Saccharomyces cerevisiae S288C: one gene and its partner. The protein of the gene in region 2 binds, or shares a complex with, the protein of the main gene of each other region. Each region holds a gene or a part of one and is shown on either strand. Other genes may lie near its edges.

What was found. The genes of interacting proteins can lie anywhere in the genome.
Region 1: CBR1 (region 2) and DPH1 share a complex: the UniProt entries of both Saccharomyces cerevisiae proteins name them as parts of the 2-(3-amino-3-carboxypropyl)histidine synthase complex.

The regions. Positions count from the first base shown.
Region 1 is NC_001141.2:170,122-174,588, reverse strand, and holds DPH1 (2-(3-amino-3-carboxypropyl)histidine synthase), read right to left. Parts: upstream 2,839-4,467; coding exon 1,561-2,838; downstream 1-1,560. Other genes in the region: YIL102C (uncharacterized protein), read left to right, coding at 1-7; YIL102C-A (uncharacterized protein), read left to right, coding at 997-1,224; Hsp90 cochaperone SHQ1, read left to right, coding at 3,084-4,467. UniProt on the Saccharomyces cerevisiae protein: Catalyzes the first step of diphthamide biosynthesis, a post-translational modification of histidine which occurs in elongation factor 2.
Region 2 is NC_001141.2:273,572-279,018, forward strand, and holds CBR1 (cytochrome-b5 reductase), read right to left. Parts: upstream 1,356-5,447; coding exon 501-1,355; downstream 1-500. Other genes in the region: GTPase-activating protein AGE2, read right to left, coding at 1-275; protein kinase PKP1, read right to left, coding at 1,537-2,721; GVP36 (Gvp36p), read left to right, coding at 2,954-3,934; APQ12 (Apq12p), read left to right, coding at 4,152-4,568; TED1 (Ted1p), read left to right, coding at 4,855-5,447. UniProt on the Saccharomyces cerevisiae protein: NADH-dependent reductase for KTI11/DPH3 and cytochrome b5. Required for the first step of diphthamide biosynthesis, a post-translational modification of histidine which occurs in elongation factor 2.

The DNA of each region.
Region 1 (4,467 bases), 100 kb from region 2:
GCAGTAGGTTCATAGCATTCGCAAATAATGGCATAGCCTCACATTTGCTGATGAAAATGGTACTATTCTGCCACAGTCCTGCTCTTTCTTTACAGAAAATGAAGAACATTAGAATGTTGTGATAAAAATTTAGGGTTACTTATTTCATGAAGGCAGTAATAATACGTATGAAAACATTAGTCAATAGACGATTGATTATTATTCCAACAATAGTATATCTGAACAGCCGTACGCAAAAAAAGCAAATTTAATTGCTGACCATTATTCAGAGCAGCTGTTTTGCCAACGTTTGCTCAAGCTATTGTCCAAATCAAATAGAGAGATACGAGTAAGCTGTTCATCAATGCTATGACTTTTAAACACATTTGATTCTTACTGCGAAAATTCCACTAGACAATTAGGGCTAATATGTGACATGCATATGTGACATGCATGTGGTGCAATTGCTGTTAAACATGGGCCTGTAAGCGGGCCAGCACATCTTCAACGGCAACCTGCCTCGACGTTTGGATGGAATATACTGAACTCAATGTGATGACCTGAAGCCACAGTCAACTCCTAATTTTCGAAGTCATTGTAGCGAAAGTATTTCTTAGACGGGATACTGTTGTTTATGTTCATAAGGGTGCCTCGATAAAAACAGATTCAGCCATATCCAACCTATATGGAGTGATGAAGGAGTAAAAATCAAGTATGAAAGCTAAACCACGCAGCAGAATATCGTAGAACCCAGCAACTAACAGAAATAACTACATTTTCATAAAATCTGACCCAGATTATGGAATGAGGCTACAACTTTATTCAGTGTCTAAAAGAATAGTTTCGCACGGAGAGCTTTTCCGCCTTACATTCATTTCCGCTAGCATTCCCGTGTAAAGGAATATATTTGAAAGAGATACAAAGAAACTGTTGATGACTGCGTGTACTCTAAATGCAATACTAGCTCAAAAATGTGAATAGTCACCGGTTGGGCATAGTAAACGTCTGTTTAGTTTCATGAACCGTTTTGTAATTATTTGCCTTCTTTTTACTTATTATGTCATATGGTCGCTCCTGCCTATCTTCGAGATCGAGAACTCCAATCCAGTTGTGAGTTTACTCTTCCCCATTTCTAGCAATGTTGCAATTTTCCTGCCCATCTTCTTACTGTTGATCGGGTTTACTTTAACTGGTTCTGTTTTAGGTGTATTGCTTATACGCAGCGATAAAAAGAAAAAAGTTTAATCTAAGCCTTAAGAGGCTCGAGTCACTTCTTTCCTCGATGAGAAATCCCGGATTTCTCATCACGGTTTCCATACAAAAGTCCATGGAAATATGCTTGGCAAACTCAGTGAAAAATTTGACAATATCATTTGGGTTTGCCTGAGAAACCAGAATAAAAATAGGCTTGACCAGCAGTGATATCAAGTTAGAAGGCATTGTTTTGAATTTTAGACAATTTAGTTTCGCCTGCAAGCCGTCAAAAACGTTTAAACAATAGAAAAGATGCTCCGAAGAATATGATACTAACTATTTATACATATGTAACAGGAAGACAAGTGACAACAAAAACTATTTAAACTATTCAATCGCATGTTTCGGAGTTTCCCCACGCCCGTATCCTTTAGCTTCGTAATAATCCATTGGATAATATTTTTCGCTGAACATGACATCTTTCTTTAGTAAGACACTAGCCTCATATGGTGTTAATAGTGGTTTATTGAAGGCATAACCCCAATCGATGGACAGTCTAGGACATGCGACCTGAACAAAAACATCAATTTGATCGAACATTGCGAGCTTTTGGGGAAAAACTTCACTTAGAATAATTTTCACCACGGTTTTACCTGCTGCGATCAGGTTTTTTTCCAAGTTTTTTACAGTGTTTAAATTACCTTGTCTACCTAATGCACCTAAGATCAGACCAAAAACTTTACCCTTCCGAGCGACTTCAATGGCCTCTGCTCTAACTTCCACGAGTTGCTTTTGATCGTATCCTTCTCTAGTGAACTTTCTGTTGTATGGGTCATACTTGAATGCAGGAATTTCCGGATTATGTATCATTGCAGACTCCAAATGAAATCTACCATCACCGATGAATACCATGGCATCGTATTGTTCTTTATCTAATCTTTCAGAAGTACACCCCAATACTTCACCCCTCGATAGAGGCTTGATTTGTGGTGGAATAATATACAGCATGTGTTCTTCATCGTTAAGCAGTTTATCTCTGACGCTGTGTACCGCAGGATTAAACTGAATGGTACCAAATGTAGCGATTCTAGATCCCTTAGGAAAATTCTTCTGCAGCGTTTTGATAATATGATCTTCTTGAATATTTATAGTAACAAAGACATATAGTACTTTAATCTTTGTAACGTCAATAGGAACTAAACACGAATGAGCGTAATGCACAATAAAATCGCAATCCAATGCCCTAGCAGTAAAATCATCAATACAGCATGCACCATAAGACACATCCCCCATTACTAGAGTTTCAACACCACAGAACTGTTCCAAAATGTCACTTATAATCAATGAGTAAATCAGCAAACCTTCAGGCATCTGTAGGGCTATTCTTTTAGCATTATATTTCCTGATATTCCACACAGTTTTGTGGATTTCAAAGTTGTAGTTAGAGGGCAATAATTTGATGGCTTCATTCAACTCTTTGTCATTCAATATATCTTCTGGCACATGATTAACACTCCTACCTAGGGCGATTCTACTCTTTTGCTTGTGGATTATTTCGTTGCCATTTTCAGCCACTGTAGTTAATTTGTCATTATTACTGTTGCCAGATTTTCTCCCAATAAATCTTCTTCTTGGTTGTTTTTTAGATTCTGTAGAGCCACTCATTACGAAAAAGAAATGCTTCAAGCTATCCGATTATCCTTAAAATTCGCAGCAGATAGTTCATGAGATTTCACTTATTTTATTTGATTGTTATTACTACTACATGTTTTTTTTTTCATCACCATCGCATCGCAAAAATCAGCTGAAAAATTTTGAATACTAAATATTCAGTGTCAAGTGCTCAGAGTAATATTAAGATTCACAAAAGAAGAATACTTGCTATAATCTACCATCACTTCTGAACTATAATGATAACACCAAGATTCTCTATAACACAGGATGAGGAATTTATATTTCTCAAAATATTCATAAGTAATATTAGGTTCAGTGCAGTGGGTTTAGAGATAATCATCCAAGAAAATATGATCATTTTTCACTTATCCCCTTACTATTTAAGATTAAGATTTCCTCACGAATTAATCGATGATGAGAGGTCTACCGCTCAATACGATTCCAAAGATGAATGCATCAATGTAAAAGTAGCCAAACTGAATAAAAATGAATATTTCGAAGATTTGGACCTACCGACAAAGTTGTTGGCTAGGCAAGGCGATCTTGCAGGTGCCGATGCATTAACAGAAAATACTGATGCGAAAAAAACCCAAAAGCCCCTTATTCAAGAGGTCGAAACTGATGGCGTGTCGAATAATATTAAAGATGATGTGAAGACTATTGGTCAAATGGGAGAGGGGTTTAATTGGGAGATAGAGCAAAAGATGGATTCCAGCACCAATAATGGAATATTGAAGACAAAATATGGGTTTGATAACTTATATGATACAGTTATATCAGTGTCGACAAGCAACGGGAACGATATCAATGAATTAGACGATCCTGAACACACTGACGCGAACGATAGAGTTATTGAAAGGTTAAGAAAAGAAAATTTGAAGTTTGATCCTGAGTACTATGTTTCCGAGTATATGACACATAAATACGGTAACGAGGAAGACTTGGAAATTAACGGCATTAAAGAACTACTGAAGTTTACACCTTCGATCGTAAAGCAATACCTGCAATGGTACAAAGACAGTACGAACCCAAATCTGGTCATGCCAATTGAGTTTACTGACGAGGAACAAAAACAGATGCAGGACAATTTACCCAAGAAGTCTTATCTCGTGGAAGATATAAAACCACTTTATGTCACTATACTCAGCGTTCTTTTCAGTTATGTGTTTGAACAGATCGAAAACGAAGGTACTCATACCACAGAGAGTGCTTGGACCATGGGAAAATTGTGCCCTCAAATATCATTCTTAGACCAACAATTAAAACAGGTGAACGAACTGCAAGACGGTATGAAAGAAATATCAAAGGTTAATAAAGACAGCTCTCTCATCAAGATTGCAATCATTACAGGTATCAGGAGAGCCCTGAGTTATCCACTACATAGAAACTATGACCTAGCAATGAAAGCGTGGACATTCGTATATTATATTCTACGAGGTGGTAAGAGACTAGTCATAAGGGCGCTTTTGGACATTCATGAAACATTTCGTTTCCATGATGTTTACTACGTCTACGACAAAGTTCTCTTGGATGATCTGACTGCGTGGTTCATTTCTCAGGGTAGTGAGAACGTCATAAGAAGTCTGGCCTTGGAAATGAGAAAAGAGCAAGAGTCACTTT
Region 2 (5,447 bases):
GCTTCGTAGTATGAGTTAGCTCTTAAATTGTTTTTGAACTGTATCAGTTTCACCAAATGTTCTTCCTTCCATGTATCCAGATCAACAGATTTCACTTTCGAAATGTGCGTTCCCAATGATCTATGTATACCAGCACATTTAATGCAAATGAAAACACCAAGTGACCAGGAAGCCCAGCGTGGATGTAGTTGCGCCTTACAGTCGGCACAATGACTGTTTCCTGGATCGCGTAAAAGAGCACTTAATGCCTTCTTGACTGGGACTGACGTCGACATCGCTTGTAAATTGCCCCACGTTCTATGCTCCTTTGTACAGTTGAAGCAAGTATTACCTTTACTTTTGTTACTATTAGTACCGATCTTATACGTATTATCGAGTCGAAAATCGTCCAGCACGAAATATGGAAACGGTGCGTTTAGGTGACTAAACTAAATAGCGTATATATTATATATGTTCCAATCTATATATATATATATGGCACTCTGTTACAGTTCCTTATCTTAAAACACAAACACCTGGTCTTCCATCTTGGAAAGCGGTTTGGAACGTCTGAACCCCAAGTCCACGGTACTTCTTCTAACTGAGGCAACCATGGCTGGAGGACCACAGATCAAAATTTGAACGTTGTCCATTGTAGCAGCGGGCAAGTGTTCCTTGATGACATCCTTGGTAATGTATCCTACACCACCAGTCCAGTCTTCACGGTCAGGAGAGTCTAAGTAGTAAACTATCTTAAATTGGGAAGGCTTCATGGCCACCAACGCTTCCAGTTCCTTCTTCAACAGAATATCCTCCTCATGGACGTTCCCAAAGACTAGAGAGACCTTGGTAGTGTCGTGAGGGTCCATGGCAATAGCTTTCATGATCTGATACATGGGCGCAATACCAGTACCACCAGCAATCATCCCTAGATGGGAACGGCAGTTTCTCTCATAATGATAGTTCCCACGAGGGCCCTTGATCTGGATCGAGTCACCTATCTTCAACTCTCCAATCATCTTAGAAACGTTACCTGTGGGGTAAGACTTCACTAGTAATTCAAAGTTTCCCTTTGTATCTCCATCCAACGATGTGGGCGTATACGATCTGGTAATATCCTTACCATTGATATTGGCCTTAATTACGATATGCTGACCAATTGGTAAACCGAGTACGTCGTCAGCATGAGGTAGCCCGAACTTGTACATCGAAGTATTATGCGTTAAGATGGTTTTTTCAACCAGCGGAAATGATTGGAAGTCATTCCTTTTGGGATCCAGCACAGGCTTGGTCTTCGGTCCGATAATGAACTTGAAGAGCAAAGGCACGACCACGATCACGATGACCACCACAAGCTTTTGAGCATCAATAGCCATCTTCGATTGCTTAATTGATTGAGTCTCTTGTTGAAGAGCCAGTTGAATGCATACTTTCAACACTTTTTTTTCTCGTTCATTTTTTCGCCTTATATAATAAGAATATTTATACATATGTAGATAATTTAAAGAAGTAGAAAGAGCCCTTAATGGTACCGCTTTACGAGGAAATTTAGCACTGTTACTTTTTGGAGAGTAGTGCAGTCTTAGAAGGGCCTTTGAGCTTGATGTACACGTCCGTGCCCCAGCCAAGTAAACTTTGAACGTCAATCTTGCCCCCAAACAGTTCTAGGTACGTCTTGCACATTGGTAGACCAAAGCCCATGCCGGAGACGTTGTTGATTTGCTCGCCGGGCAGATCTGTAGACTCAGAGTCAGCTGATTGTTGGGTATGTGTAGAGTAAGAGTAGTTGAACATGAGGGCCTCTACCTCGGGCGTGATCCCACCACCATGGTCCCGTATCCGTAAGTACAGCTCGTCATCGTCTGGCTTTAAAAGATTGATCTCTATGGGCATATGTTCCTTTCCAAGAGCTATCTGAGCTTCAAAAGCGTTCTTGAATACCTCTGTCATAATATACTCCAGAATGGGCGGAATGCACGTGAATGTGATGTCTTGTGATGGCGGGTGAATTAGGACCGGGGTCCGCTGAGTGTTGAACTTCACAAAGCATATATCATTGACATAATCAGAAACGTGCTTGATCAATTGTGCTATGGGGAGGTCCCGGTGCAAGATTCCAATCATCCTTTTGTTCGTGTCACCTTTGTTCTGTGCCATCAACGACAAATAGTGCGTCACAAGCAGCTTCATCGTGATTCTCTCCTTCAGGTGGAAGTTCAAGAACTGCGAAATTTGAAACTTTGGGTAACACGATTGGATTTCCTGAAGACCTTTTGCCAATACCACAATGGCGTCCTCGTGGTCGTCCAGCAGTTCTGTGAACTTGGCCTGTATCTTGGGAGGATTGTGCAACTCGTACGGGTATGCGATTGATAGCAACGTTTGCAAGCTTTTCAAATACAAAGAGTTGGTTCTCTCAATATGAGGGTTGATTACCGCATTATACGGTAGCCTCTGAATGGCATTAAGCCGTTTACACGTCAATGAAAGCAACAGGTTGATTGTCTTGATCGTCAGCATGTACTCCTCCTTCTTGGTCAGCGGCGGCCTGTATTGCAGGAAATACTCGTAGTTTAGGGGCGCAATTGGTTTACTAGCGTAGTCCTGTATCAGCAGCTCAATGTTCGACCTAATCTTGTAATGCTGGTCGAACGACAGTTGCGACAGCAGCTCGTGTGAGGGTCGCTGGCGATGTGCCCAGCGCATTCCCCCACATTTCCATGAACGCATAATCTTCCACATACTACCGTGAAGGCGTCTTGATACCACGTCTTCCAGTTATGGTCTTGACTCACCAATGTTCTCAGTTTAATGTTGTTTGCTTCATACTGGCAGACATTTTCCCTTATTACCGTGAGAAGCGAGCGGTGGATTAATCGGGATGTCAAAAACAAGAAAATTGCAACCTTCTTCACCTATAACCTATATGATTTGTAGGCAGAGGAGTGGAATAAGCAACAAATCATAGTCATCAATGTCGTTTAATGCCTTCGCCAGCTCTTTGAGCAAGAAATTACAGGAAATATCCACAAGTGTTTCCGAAAAAACCCAGGAATTGCCCAGTTTGGCGCAATCCACCCAAAGAATGGTCCAGGAACGTTTGGGCCAGGTGACGGACATCTCCCAATTGCCAAGAGAGTACACAGAGCTGGAAGATAAGGTTGACACCATCAAACTGATTTACAACCACTTCTTGGGTGTAACTGCTATCTACGAAAACGGATCGTACGATTACCCTAAATACATCAACGAATCCGTCAACGAGTTTTCAAGAAGCGTGGCTTCCAAGTTGACAGAGTTGACTCATGCTACATCTGCGTCTGAGGCACAAAACATCTTAGTTGCTCCAGGCCCCATCAAAGAACCCAAGACGTTGAACTACGCCCTCAGTAAAGTGGCTTTGAACTCCAGTGAATGTTTGAACAAGATGTTCCCCACCGAGGAACAACCCTTGGCTTCGGCACTCTTGCAATTCAGTGATGTGCAGGCTAAGATTGCTCAAGCTAGAATTCAACAAGATACCTTGATTCAAACCAAATTCAATAAAAATTTGAGGGAAAGGCTCTCTTTTGAGATCGGTAAGGCCGATAAGTGCCGCAAGGATGTCCATTCCATGAGATTAAGATATGACGTGGCAAGAACTAACTTGGCAAACAACAAGAAGCCAGAAAAGGAAGCTTCCTTGAGAGTCCAAATGGAGACTTTGGAAGACCAGTTTGCTCAAGTCACTGAAGACGCTACTGTGTGCTTGCAGGAGGTTATTTCTCACGCTAACTTCAGTGAAGATTTGAAGGAATTGGCCAAGGCTCAAGCTGAGTATTTTGAAACCTCGGCTGGCCTAATGAAAGAGTTCCTATCCAACTCATTTGCGGAAGAGCCGGAAGCAAAGCCTGAGGTTGCAGAAGAAGAAAAGCCACAGACAGCTATCTCTATGAATGACGAAGACGACGCTTAATAGCCGCCCTGTTCTTGTCTTTCTCTCTCCTTCTCTATATATATATATTTACTTAATACAATATCATATTCTCTAGTGTCGTACGAATATTATCATTTATTTGCTGGCTTTTGTAGTGAGTATATTTTTTGTAGAGAAAATATAATTACTGGAAGAGAAAAAGCTACTGAAAAAAATTTCGTAACAGTCACCAAAGGGCAAAGTGAGCAACCCAAAAATGGACGCTACTCAACCGCAATACGAACTATCCGTAGTAACACAATGCCTAAAGTCTGCCATTGACGTCATCCAATGGTTGATTCCTACTATTACTAAGTTCAGCCAATCACACCCGTTAGTTTTCCAACTATTGTTTATTTTCTTCACATTTTATGTCTTTTACAAGTTGTTGATGAACTTCATTACTCTGGTCAAAAGATTCCTGTATTTGACGTTGGTAGTAACATGTATCGGTATTTATATGCGTGGTTCGCAGCAGTTTTTGACTGTGGACCTGTTGAATTTCTACAATTTCGTCATGTCAAATAGATACTACGCATTTAAAATTTATACTCTGTTTATTAATGCCCTGGAAAGAGAAATCAACACTGTTTATCATTTGGCGCAGATGAAAATGGAACAGTTGCTTAAATAGAGCGAAACGCCTCTGCTTACTCGGAACATCTTAAAGTAATTACATATCTTAATTTCTAAATATTCATATAGATAAAGAACGTTTTTTTTGCTAGATTCCTCCCCTAGTCACTATCAAATATTGAGCTATTTTTGGTGACTTGTGTTTTCCAAATTATTCATTACAATTGTGACTTGATTTCTGAAGTTTTAAGAAAAATTGCAAACTAAGTTATTACAAGCGATTTATCCGGTCGCGATTGAAGAACTGAAAACAACAGCAGCAGCATTGTACCAAGAATCCCAAGATGCTCAGGTGTGCGGTCAAGAAGTTTGCATATTTTGCCACCTTCCTCACTATCGTCGCTAATATTTACATCTATACTTATCCATCTTTCCATCCAGAACAGTGTTCATGGAACTGCTCTAACAAGAACGCACCACTACAGAAAGATTTGACTTTTGTGGACAAAGTGAAGAATTACTTCAGTGATGTTCGAGAGCAATGGCATGGTAGCCATGCCTCTGCAGGTAACGATGAGGATATTCATATTTTGGCCTTCGGTGATCCTCAGATTAAAGGCATCTGGCCAAAGACGCCATATGTGTCCCGATTAGATACATACGGTAATGACTACTATCTTGGTCACATCTATGATATGATGCAGCAGAGACTGAAGCCTCAGGTGGTGACTGTTATGGGTGATCTTTTCTCCAGTCAATGGATCGGTGATTCCGAATTCCATAATAGAACGAAAAGGTATATTAGCAGAATTTTCAAAAGAGACCCAACTTCTATTGAAAATATCAAACAACAGAACCTCGATGAGAAAGGTCAATATAAGGCGAATTGGCCTGAATGGGGAGACCGTTTTAATGAGATTTTAGACAATGTCAAGGA